Sus scrofa: one gene and its partner. The protein of the gene in region 2 interacts with the protein of the main gene of each other region in a pairwise test. Links are inferred from orthologs where the notes say so. Each region holds a gene or a part of one and is shown on either strand. Other genes may lie near its edges. The genes, in order: DOK3 and ANKS1A.

Region 1 (4,601 bases), on a different chromosome or scaffold from region 2:
ATGCCCTTCATCTCCCTTGAGGTTGGCCGGGGACTGGGCCAGCATGGGTGTGTCCCTGACAGCTTGGAGCAGTAAAGGCGTGGGAGTTTAAGATTGGGACCCATGAGTGAATGGCTACATGTTCCTCCCCAGGCCTCTTTCCCCATCTCCTCTGGCATCCTTTGGGCTCTGACCTTGAGCATTTCCATCATGACCACCTTGATCATGGGGCTATGGTCAGGGTCAAAGGCAAAGGCAGTCCCCCTACCAGTCTCCTTGTCTTGCTTATTTCCTTTTTTCTTTCTTTTTTTTTTTCTGGCCACAGCATGCAGCGACTTAATGTGGCATCTCAGTTTCCAGACCAAAGGTTGAAGTCGGGCTAAAGCAATGAAAGCACTAAATTCTAACCACTAGACTACCAAGGAACTTTGTCCTTTAAAAAAAAAAAAAGAGTTGTGGTAAAATACACAACACAAAAATTATCATTTTAACCACTTTAAAGTGTACAGGGAGTTCCCTGGTGGCTCAGCAGCTAAAGGACCTGGCATGGTCACTGCTGTGGCATGGGTTCAATCCCTGGCTGGGCAACTTCCACATGCCGCAGGCATGGGCCCTAAAAAGAAAGAGTATAATTTAGAACCTTTTCACTACAAATGGAAACCCCGTACTTATTAGCTGTCATTCTCCATTCTCCCCTCTCCCCAACACCCCGCAACCACTAACCTGCATTCCATTGCTATGGATTTGTCTGTTCTGGCTATTTCATGTAAATAGAATCATACAATGTGAAGACTTTAGCGTCTGGATTCTCTGATTTAGCATGTTTTCGATGTCCATCCATGTCATGGCATGTGTCACTGCTTCATTCCTTTTCATGGGCAAGTGATGTTCTGTTGCATGGATAAACCGCATTTGGTTTATCCATTCATCAGTTGATGGACATTTGGGTTGTTTGCATCTTTGGGCTAGTGTGAATAATGCTGCTCTGAAGATTCCTGTACAAGTTTTGTTTGAACACCTGTTTCAGTTCTCCTGGATAAATGCCCAGGAGTGGAATTGCTGGGTCATATGGTAACTCTGTTTAATTTTTGAGGAACCGCCATTCATTTCCTTTTGGTCCATCACAGACCCTGTTAAGCTCAGTCTCTGGGTCCAACTCCCCAAAGGTTTCTCTACTCCCTTGGAATAAAACCAGAAACTCTACATCTGGCCCAAGGCAGTTTCAGCTGGGCTCCCACCAAACTCTCCACTGTTGCCTCTTCCTGGCATCAGCCCCCTTTATCCTCCAGCCACACTTGCCCTTCTGCCTCTTGAACACCAGGCTTTTCCCTGTCAAAGAGCCCTTGCCCATGCCGCTCCGTCTGTTTAGGAGACCCCTCAGACCTGGGTCTAGGACACTCTGTCTTCAGATCTTTGCCTGGGGGGTTATTTGTCCTTGAGGTGCCCTCTCCTCCCTTGAGAAGCCTTCCTGGACCATCCTGTCTAACGTCCCCCGTCACTTCTGGTTCCATCCAGCCTCTCATTTTCTCCAAAGCACGTGTGGTCATCTAAGACTTGTAATGTGGGCTTGCGCTGTTTCCCAGGCTTGTAGGGGCTTGGCAGGTGCTTGCTGAGTGACAGGATATGAGTGAGCACGGAGATGAACCAGGTCGGGTGAGGTGGTCTCCCTGGCCAGCCCCCAGAGTCCCTGCCCGCCTGCCTTGTGCTCACCGGGAAGGCCAGCTGGCAGATGGGGTCCATCCACTCCTGGCGGTGCTGTGCAGCCAGCAGGTGGCTTCGCTCCGTGGTGGTGAGCAGGAAGGCGCTGGTGTCCCGGGGACAGCTCTCACCATCAGCCGGCAGCACGGACACACAGTCGGCCAGGCGGATGACCCGCCTCTCCCCCCGCCGGCTGGGCCCCCCAGACCTGTCACCTGTTGGCCCCAGGCCACCATCCCGAAACTCCCAGCTCTCCAGCCGTGCCACGCCTGATGGGCCTCCCGCATACAGCAGACCCCACATCTTCCGCCAAGACTTCTGCGGGAGACAAAGATGGGGAAGGGGCTCCCTGCAGCTCAGCCCAGCACAAGCCGCTCAGCCAACTGGCCACCCACACTGGCCTCTGCCTCCCCCACCTCCTCAGGCAGCAGGTGTCTTTCTGGAGCCAGCCTGGCAAGGGGAAGAGTCTGTGTTTGGGGTCATTCAATCCTGGGTTCAAATCCACCCCATGCTTTCCTGTGATCCCCATAGGCACTAGAGTCCTCGTCTCTCCAAAGGCCATGAGAACACAGGGTTAGGACTTGTACTGGGTAATGTCTATAAAGTTATCTAGTGGCTGGAGCATGGCACCTGACAGTTATGTTGATGCCCAGCCCCCACAAAGAAAAGGTCAGTTGGACCACAGGACAAGGCTGGGGCAGGCAGGAGGCCTCAGTCTCATGATGGCAAGGAAGGAAACATGCAAATAATACCGAGCAAAGGAAACAGACGGTTTATCTGCCTGGGCAGCAGCTGCAGCTGAGCTGAGGGTGTGCAGTGCCTGCTACCCCAGGACAGGGCTGGGAGGAGCTGAGCCCTCTTCTGAAGGATGGGGTTCTATCCTGGAGGTGGGGAGCTCCTCCAGCTCAGCCCGCAGACCTCCTGAGGGGGCCTCGGTGTCACTAGTAGTTGGGATGGAAGGCTGTTGGATTAGCCAGCCCCTGGGTTCTGCCCTGCCCCAAAGGTTGTATTCTTAGACCCTCCCCACTCTCGCTCCCGTCTGTAATGAGGCAGGGTCTCAAAAGCACTCCCTCAGCCCCACGCTGGGCTGAGGACAGGAACGGGCTCTGTCCCACTCCCCCACACCCGGTTTGGCTCCCGGAGCCTGACTCCCTCCCCCACCCTCCCAGGTCCCTGTGGGCAGGGGCGGAAGCCCACCACCTGTCCTAGGCAGCTGCCTGGCAGCCAGGGTCCCCACCTTGCCAAATTTGACTTGCTGCTGGTAGAGGATGCCATCCTTGATGGGGGTCTCTAGAGGCTCCATGGCCGTGGCCGGGACTCAGGGCCGCCACTCTGAGGGCCTGAGGAGACTGGTGACAGGCCGGAGGGGAACTCCTTATACTTCCCCTTCTGGCCACTTCCCCCTCCCTCTGTCCAGAGAGGCAGCTGCAGGGCTGGGGGGAGGGGAGCCCTGCCTGCAGTAAAGGAGCTAGGATGGGGGGAGAGGGCATCACATACTCCTTCCTTGGGGTTCAAGCTGACCCAAGGTGCCCACTAGTGCCTGGCAGGGGCCTCAGACCCCCCCCCCCGAGGGCAGATGACCCGTGCCAGCCCAGGTCAGCTGGGTGTGAACATCTGACCACAAGCTGGCTCTCGAGTCATGAGCTCTGACCCCTCCCCCATGCAGGAGCTCTTCCGTACACAGGGGCCTGGCATTCCCACCACCCTGTGCCCTCCAGGACCTTTCTCTAGCCAGACAGGCAAACTCTGTGCTTTCCCACTTGGAGTCCTGGTTAGTTTGCTTGTCTTTATCCCGGAAAGGGTTCTAATACTCTCTTGCTCCTCCCCATTTTCACAGCCCCTGCCCATTGCCAGCCTTGGCATTTCTCCTTTGAACCATGGCCCCACCTGGGCCCACCCGGACCTCTCCACCAACCCCAAACCTACTCGTGTTTCCCCTCCCTAAACATTTTCTGGCTCCTAGTGCCCTTGGGTCTAGCTTGGATTCCTTGGCCCAGCACTCAAGGTGCTGTGTGTTCTGGTCTCCACCTCCCCTAGCCTGGCCCCTCCAGGGCACCTCTCACCCCTGGGCTGCTTGGCACACTGGGGTCTCTTCCTCCAGGAGCCCTCCCCTGACTGCCACGCTGTCTGAGAGCACAAAGGCCTCAGTCCCCATGACTGGGCCCCAGCCACGTGAGCGTGTGTGGCACACCCCTAGCAGGCCCCCTAGAGAGCTCACACGCTTTTTAAGTTTTGCTTCTTGCTGGGGGAGCCTGGGGCCGGGGCTTGTGGGAGGACCTGGATTCTGGGGACAGCCTCATGGCATTCATTCAGTGCCACCTTTGCCAAGGAACATCTAATAGGTTGAAGAATACTGGTTTTCTTTTGCAGGGGGGTGGGGGGGTAGCACATGTGGGGTTTGTAGTTTCTCAGGCAGGAAATCTTTTCCTAGGGCACTGTTCACTGGCTTTGTGCCCACTGTGGCCCAGGCAGTCGCGAGCTCCAGCAGCCTCAGATACCATGTCCTTTGCATTCTCACTGCCAGTTCAAGGATGAGGAAATCAAGGCTCAGAAACATTAAGTAACTTGCCCAAGGCTTGAGCAACTGCTGTCCTGCTGGGATAACCCTGTGGCCTCATACATGAAGTACCAGGCACAGAGGAGCTGCTGCCAGCGCTTTTCTCTGCCTACCCCTTGCCAGATGTTGAAATCCTGGCTCATATGCCAGCAGTCTCATGACCACAGTCCATGTTCATTCAAGGCTGATCTGTCTGTCCCCTTACCTGTGAACTTCTCAGAGGGCATCTGCTTGGCTCATCTGGGTCCTGAGCCCCACTCATAGCTGGGCACAGAGCTGGGTCAGTGGGTGCTTGTGGCCTGAATCCTGTGGCATCTGCTTCCCCCTCAGCAAATGGAGCAGAGGGTTCCCTACTGAAAGCCTGCAT
Region 2 (3,801 bases):
ACGAGAGAGACAAAGCCTGCATGAGGCCAGGAGGGAGGATGGGAAGTGCTGAAAAGAGGTGGGAGCCCGAAGGCAGTGCCCCGAGCAGCAGGGGCTGTGGCTGCAGAGAAGACAGGCAGGAGATATGGGGGCTGTGGGGCAGCAGGAGGGAGCTGAGGAGGGGGAGAAGGTCCAGCTGGGGACCAGGCTGGGAAGGGGCCAGAGGGGGAGAGGCTGGTGGCCTGCGGGGCTGGGCGAAGCGGCTGTGGTCAAAGAGGAGAGGGTGTGGGGCTGCACTTCTGAGGTGGGGACCCAGGGGAGGCCTCAGCAGCAACAGCTGCAGGGGGTCATGGAGCCGCTGCCGGGACACAGGCCGTGGGGGGCGGGGAGGAGGCCGGGTCCCCCGCCCTGACGCCAGCGCAGCAGTGTGGGGCCCAGGGCCAGCGGGGGTGTCCGGGAGCCCCTTCCCGCTGAGACGAAGCCGGGGACCTTTGCCCACCTGGATCCGGAAGCGTTCCGCCCGAGCGGGCACTGCAGGCTCGTGGAGGCTGTCATGCCGCCTCCTGCCTGTGTCCCCAGGGGGCAGCAGCAGGTCAGCCGACCTCACGGTGCAGGAGTCGTTCTGGCTCAGGGGCGAGGATGTCTGCGAGAGCAGGTCTTGGCACTGCGGGGAGAGAGCCGGGGAGAGGCAGTCAGTGCGGGGGCCGCACAGGGGAGCCTGGGGGAGATGCGGCGGCCTCTGCAGCCCGAAGCCCTGACACCGGGTCCTGAAGGGTGAGCACACCCCGTGGGGCCTGGGCCTCAGCCAAGAGGGCCGACTGGAGACCTGGGAAGCGCTCTCCAGCTACCAAAGTGACTCAGAGTATGAAGCAGGTTCTTTGGCTTCCACGTCTGTGTCTCAGAACCAGCGGGGCCAGTAACGTCTGCTCTGAGGCTGCTCTAAGGGCCTGGAGGCCAGGCACATCCCTGCCCACTGGCAGCACCATGGGCTCCCCGTCTAACCCCTTTCAGTCAGAGGTGACCTGGCTTGAGCAACAAAGCATCTGTGAGGTTTTGAAAATCACAAGGATTTCTCTTCAGAAGACTTGGGGTGGGGTCGAGGGGGGGGTGTCCTGTGTTCCAGGCTTTGTCTCTGGCCCAAGGGGGTCTCCTCCCAGCTCCGCCTGCCCCCTGTCCCGGGCACAGCTGAATGTGACACTCAGACGTGGCCCTAGCCGTCTGGGATTCAGGTATTTGTTTTCCTGCTTTTCCCAACATTTGACTTGCTAATATTTACACTTTGTTACAGGCCATCTCGAGCTTCTCCAGGCTGATGGGAAGCATGTGATCAATAACCACCTCTGCCCACCGCCCCTGCGCCCCGGTTCCTCTCTCAACCTGGGCCGAAGGACAGACTTGGCCCCAACACAGTGAGGCGGGATGGCTGTCTGAAGAAGCCCTGGGAGAAGCTCCTAGGCTCCTAATACCACAAAGCACACACACCCCTTTCCACCTGCCCGACTCACCCTCAGCTGGGAGAACCGTGGGGGCTTCTGGGGCGGCTCCTCATAGGGCCTGTCTGCCAGGGAGGCGATGATCCGCTTGCGATGGCCAAGCAGGTGGACCTTGAGGACCTGGGCAAGGGGAGGGGAGGGGTTAGGGCCACTGGGCCCCCAGCCCCGTGGGCTGGGCCGGGGTGAGCGGTACTCACGTTGACAAGCTCGAGCTCCCAGAGGTTCTTCACAGTGTCGATGGAGCTGTAGCCACTGGCCAGGAAGGAGTGGACATAGTCCTGCAGCCCCAGGGAGTCCAGCCAGGAGGGCACTGAGGGGGGGCTGCTCCCATCATAGCCCAGAGCCTTCACCTGTGGGGTGAGGAGAAGAGGCAGGACTGACGACTCTCCCTGAGGGGATAAGCACCCTGGGGACCAGGGAGACGCACCCTGCAGGGGCCAGAGCAGAGGCTGAGGCGGGGGTAGGTGTGGGGCCTGAACACCCTGAGCCCTTCCCCTCACACAGTCCTCTCTCCCTCCCTCTCTTGGCTCTGGTCTCGCCTCCACCTCCACCCCACGCTGGGAAGGCGCCCCAGCAGGTAGGCCAGGCGGGGGGAGGGTGTGAAGGAGGCCTCACTGAGCTCTGACAAGAGGAAGGCACGGGGCACTCGGGGCAGCAGAGCTGAGCAGAGGCACAGGGCCACCAACCACAGCTCCCCCAGGAACCACGGCCTCCTCTGCTGCCCCGGGGGCCCCTGGCCTCCTAGGGAGGGCCTGGCTGGGGCTCGGTGCAGGTGACAGGCCAAGCCTGTGGGCACCAGGCTCTGTGCTGGGCAGAGGCCTGAAGCTGGTTCCTGAGGCAGATGAGGTCCTTACTGTCCCCAGTACTCTGTTGGCTCTCTGTGACCTCAGGACTTGGCAGAGAAGTGAATAGGACCCTGTGCTCCCCACTGGGGCCCCCAGGGTGAGGGGGAGACACCCCACGGTGATCTGCACGCCCAGAGCCATGCCCCTTCTCTGCTCTGGGCCCAGGGGGCCTTGGGGAGGTGGCCCTAGCAAAGGCTGTGGGTGCAGAACTATGGGTGGTTACCTTGGGCAGGGACCGTGCAGCCTGCAGCAGCTTCCGCCGGTGCTGGGGGTCAGTGATGCCAATTTCCCGCAGGTCTTGCTCTTCCATCACGTTAGACCCCTGGGAGCAGAAAGGAGAATGTGAGGGCCTCCTGCCTGAGGACCCGGGCAAGCAGGACATTCATCCGCCCAGGCCGCCACCCCTCCTCCAGAGGTTCCCCGGTGGGCTGGGTGTGTCTTCCTGGGGAGCAGGTTCCATGACCACCCACAGTGGAGGACAGGAGGCCGAGTCCCCAGACTCCTCGCAGACGTGGTTGTGTGATTAAGGCTGTAAGAGCCTCCTTAGGCGGGCACCCAGGAACCTGCCTCGCTCCAAGGTGGAGTCTCAGAGTAGGAACCTGCCCAGGAGTGGAGGGCGAGCCAGGGCTGAGCCCGCGTGGGCAGCAAGCATGGCGGTGATGGTGAGGATGGCTGGTGTCTGCCGCCTACTCGCTGCGTGACAGTCTCGAGACCTTTCCTGGGCACTGTCCCACTTGCTGCCCACATCCATGTGTGTTGGGTTCATCGGAATTACACATCAGGAGACTGAGGCACAGGGGGTCAGACACTGACACAGATCTGACTCCGAAGCCCTAGCGCGATGTCTTTCATTACTCACAGTGGTCTCATGAGATGGGTTTTCTGGATTGTGATGCACAAAGTCAGGGGTTCTGCCCTGTCCCTCAGCCACAGTGCCCCCCACCAAGGGCACCTGTTACCACTTCCCTGGATGTCCTGGCCAGAACCTGGCTGGGCACCTACACACATGTGCACACTTCATTTTCACACAAACATGATTCTAGTACACACTTCAACACCTTCATTTTACTTAGTCTGTATAGCAGAAGGTTGCGCATCAGTGTGTGACCTCTCTCCTTTTAAAGCTGCATAACCATCTGAGTTATGGACGTGCTGTAAATGATTAAGCCAGGTCCCTGTTCAAGGATGACTGTTTCCAGTGTCTGCTTTTACAAAGAATGCTGCACGAATCCCCCTGTATATGTATTCTTCTAGGGCAGCTATCAAGACAGACTGCTGCCAAACCAATTCTCCAGAAAGAACAGAGCTGGCAATATCACACTCCCTGACTTCAGATGATTCTACAAAAGCTACAGTAGTCGGAACAGTATGGGGAGCTCCCTAGTGGCTCAGGGGGTTAAGGATCAGTACTGTCACTGCAGCGGCTTCGGTTGCTAATGTGGGGCGGGTTTGGTCCCTGGCCCGGGAACTGCCACATGCCACCA

Evidence for each region.
Region 1: the proteins of ANKS1A (region 2) and DOK3 interact in a two-hybrid assay, tested with the Homo sapiens proteins (2 studies listed by BioGRID and IntAct). The link is inferred for Sus scrofa from reciprocal best matches to the Homo sapiens genes ANKS1A and DOK3.

What each region holds. Positions count from the first base shown.
Region 1 is NC_010444.4:80,439,251-80,443,851, reverse strand, and holds the start of DOK3 (docking protein 3), read right to left. Parts: upstream 3,079-4,601; 5' UTR 2,981-3,078; coding exon 2,915-2,980; intron 1,996-2,914; coding exon 1,690-1,995; intron 1-1,689. UniProt on the Homo sapiens protein: DOK proteins are enzymatically inert adaptor or scaffolding proteins. They provide a docking platform for the assembly of multimolecular signaling complexes. DOK3 is a negative regulator of JNK signaling in B-cells through interaction with INPP5D/SHIP1.
Region 2 is NC_010449.5:30,983,731-30,987,531, reverse strand, and holds part of ANKS1A (ankyrin repeat and SAM domain-containing protein 1A), read right to left. Parts: intron 2,640-3,801; coding exon 2,541-2,639; intron 1,823-2,540; coding exon 1,670-1,822; intron 1,593-1,669; coding exon 1,485-1,592; intron 644-1,484; coding exon 479-643; intron 1-478. UniProt on the Homo sapiens protein: Regulator of different signaling pathways. Regulates EPHA8 receptor tyrosine kinase signaling to control cell migration and neurite retraction.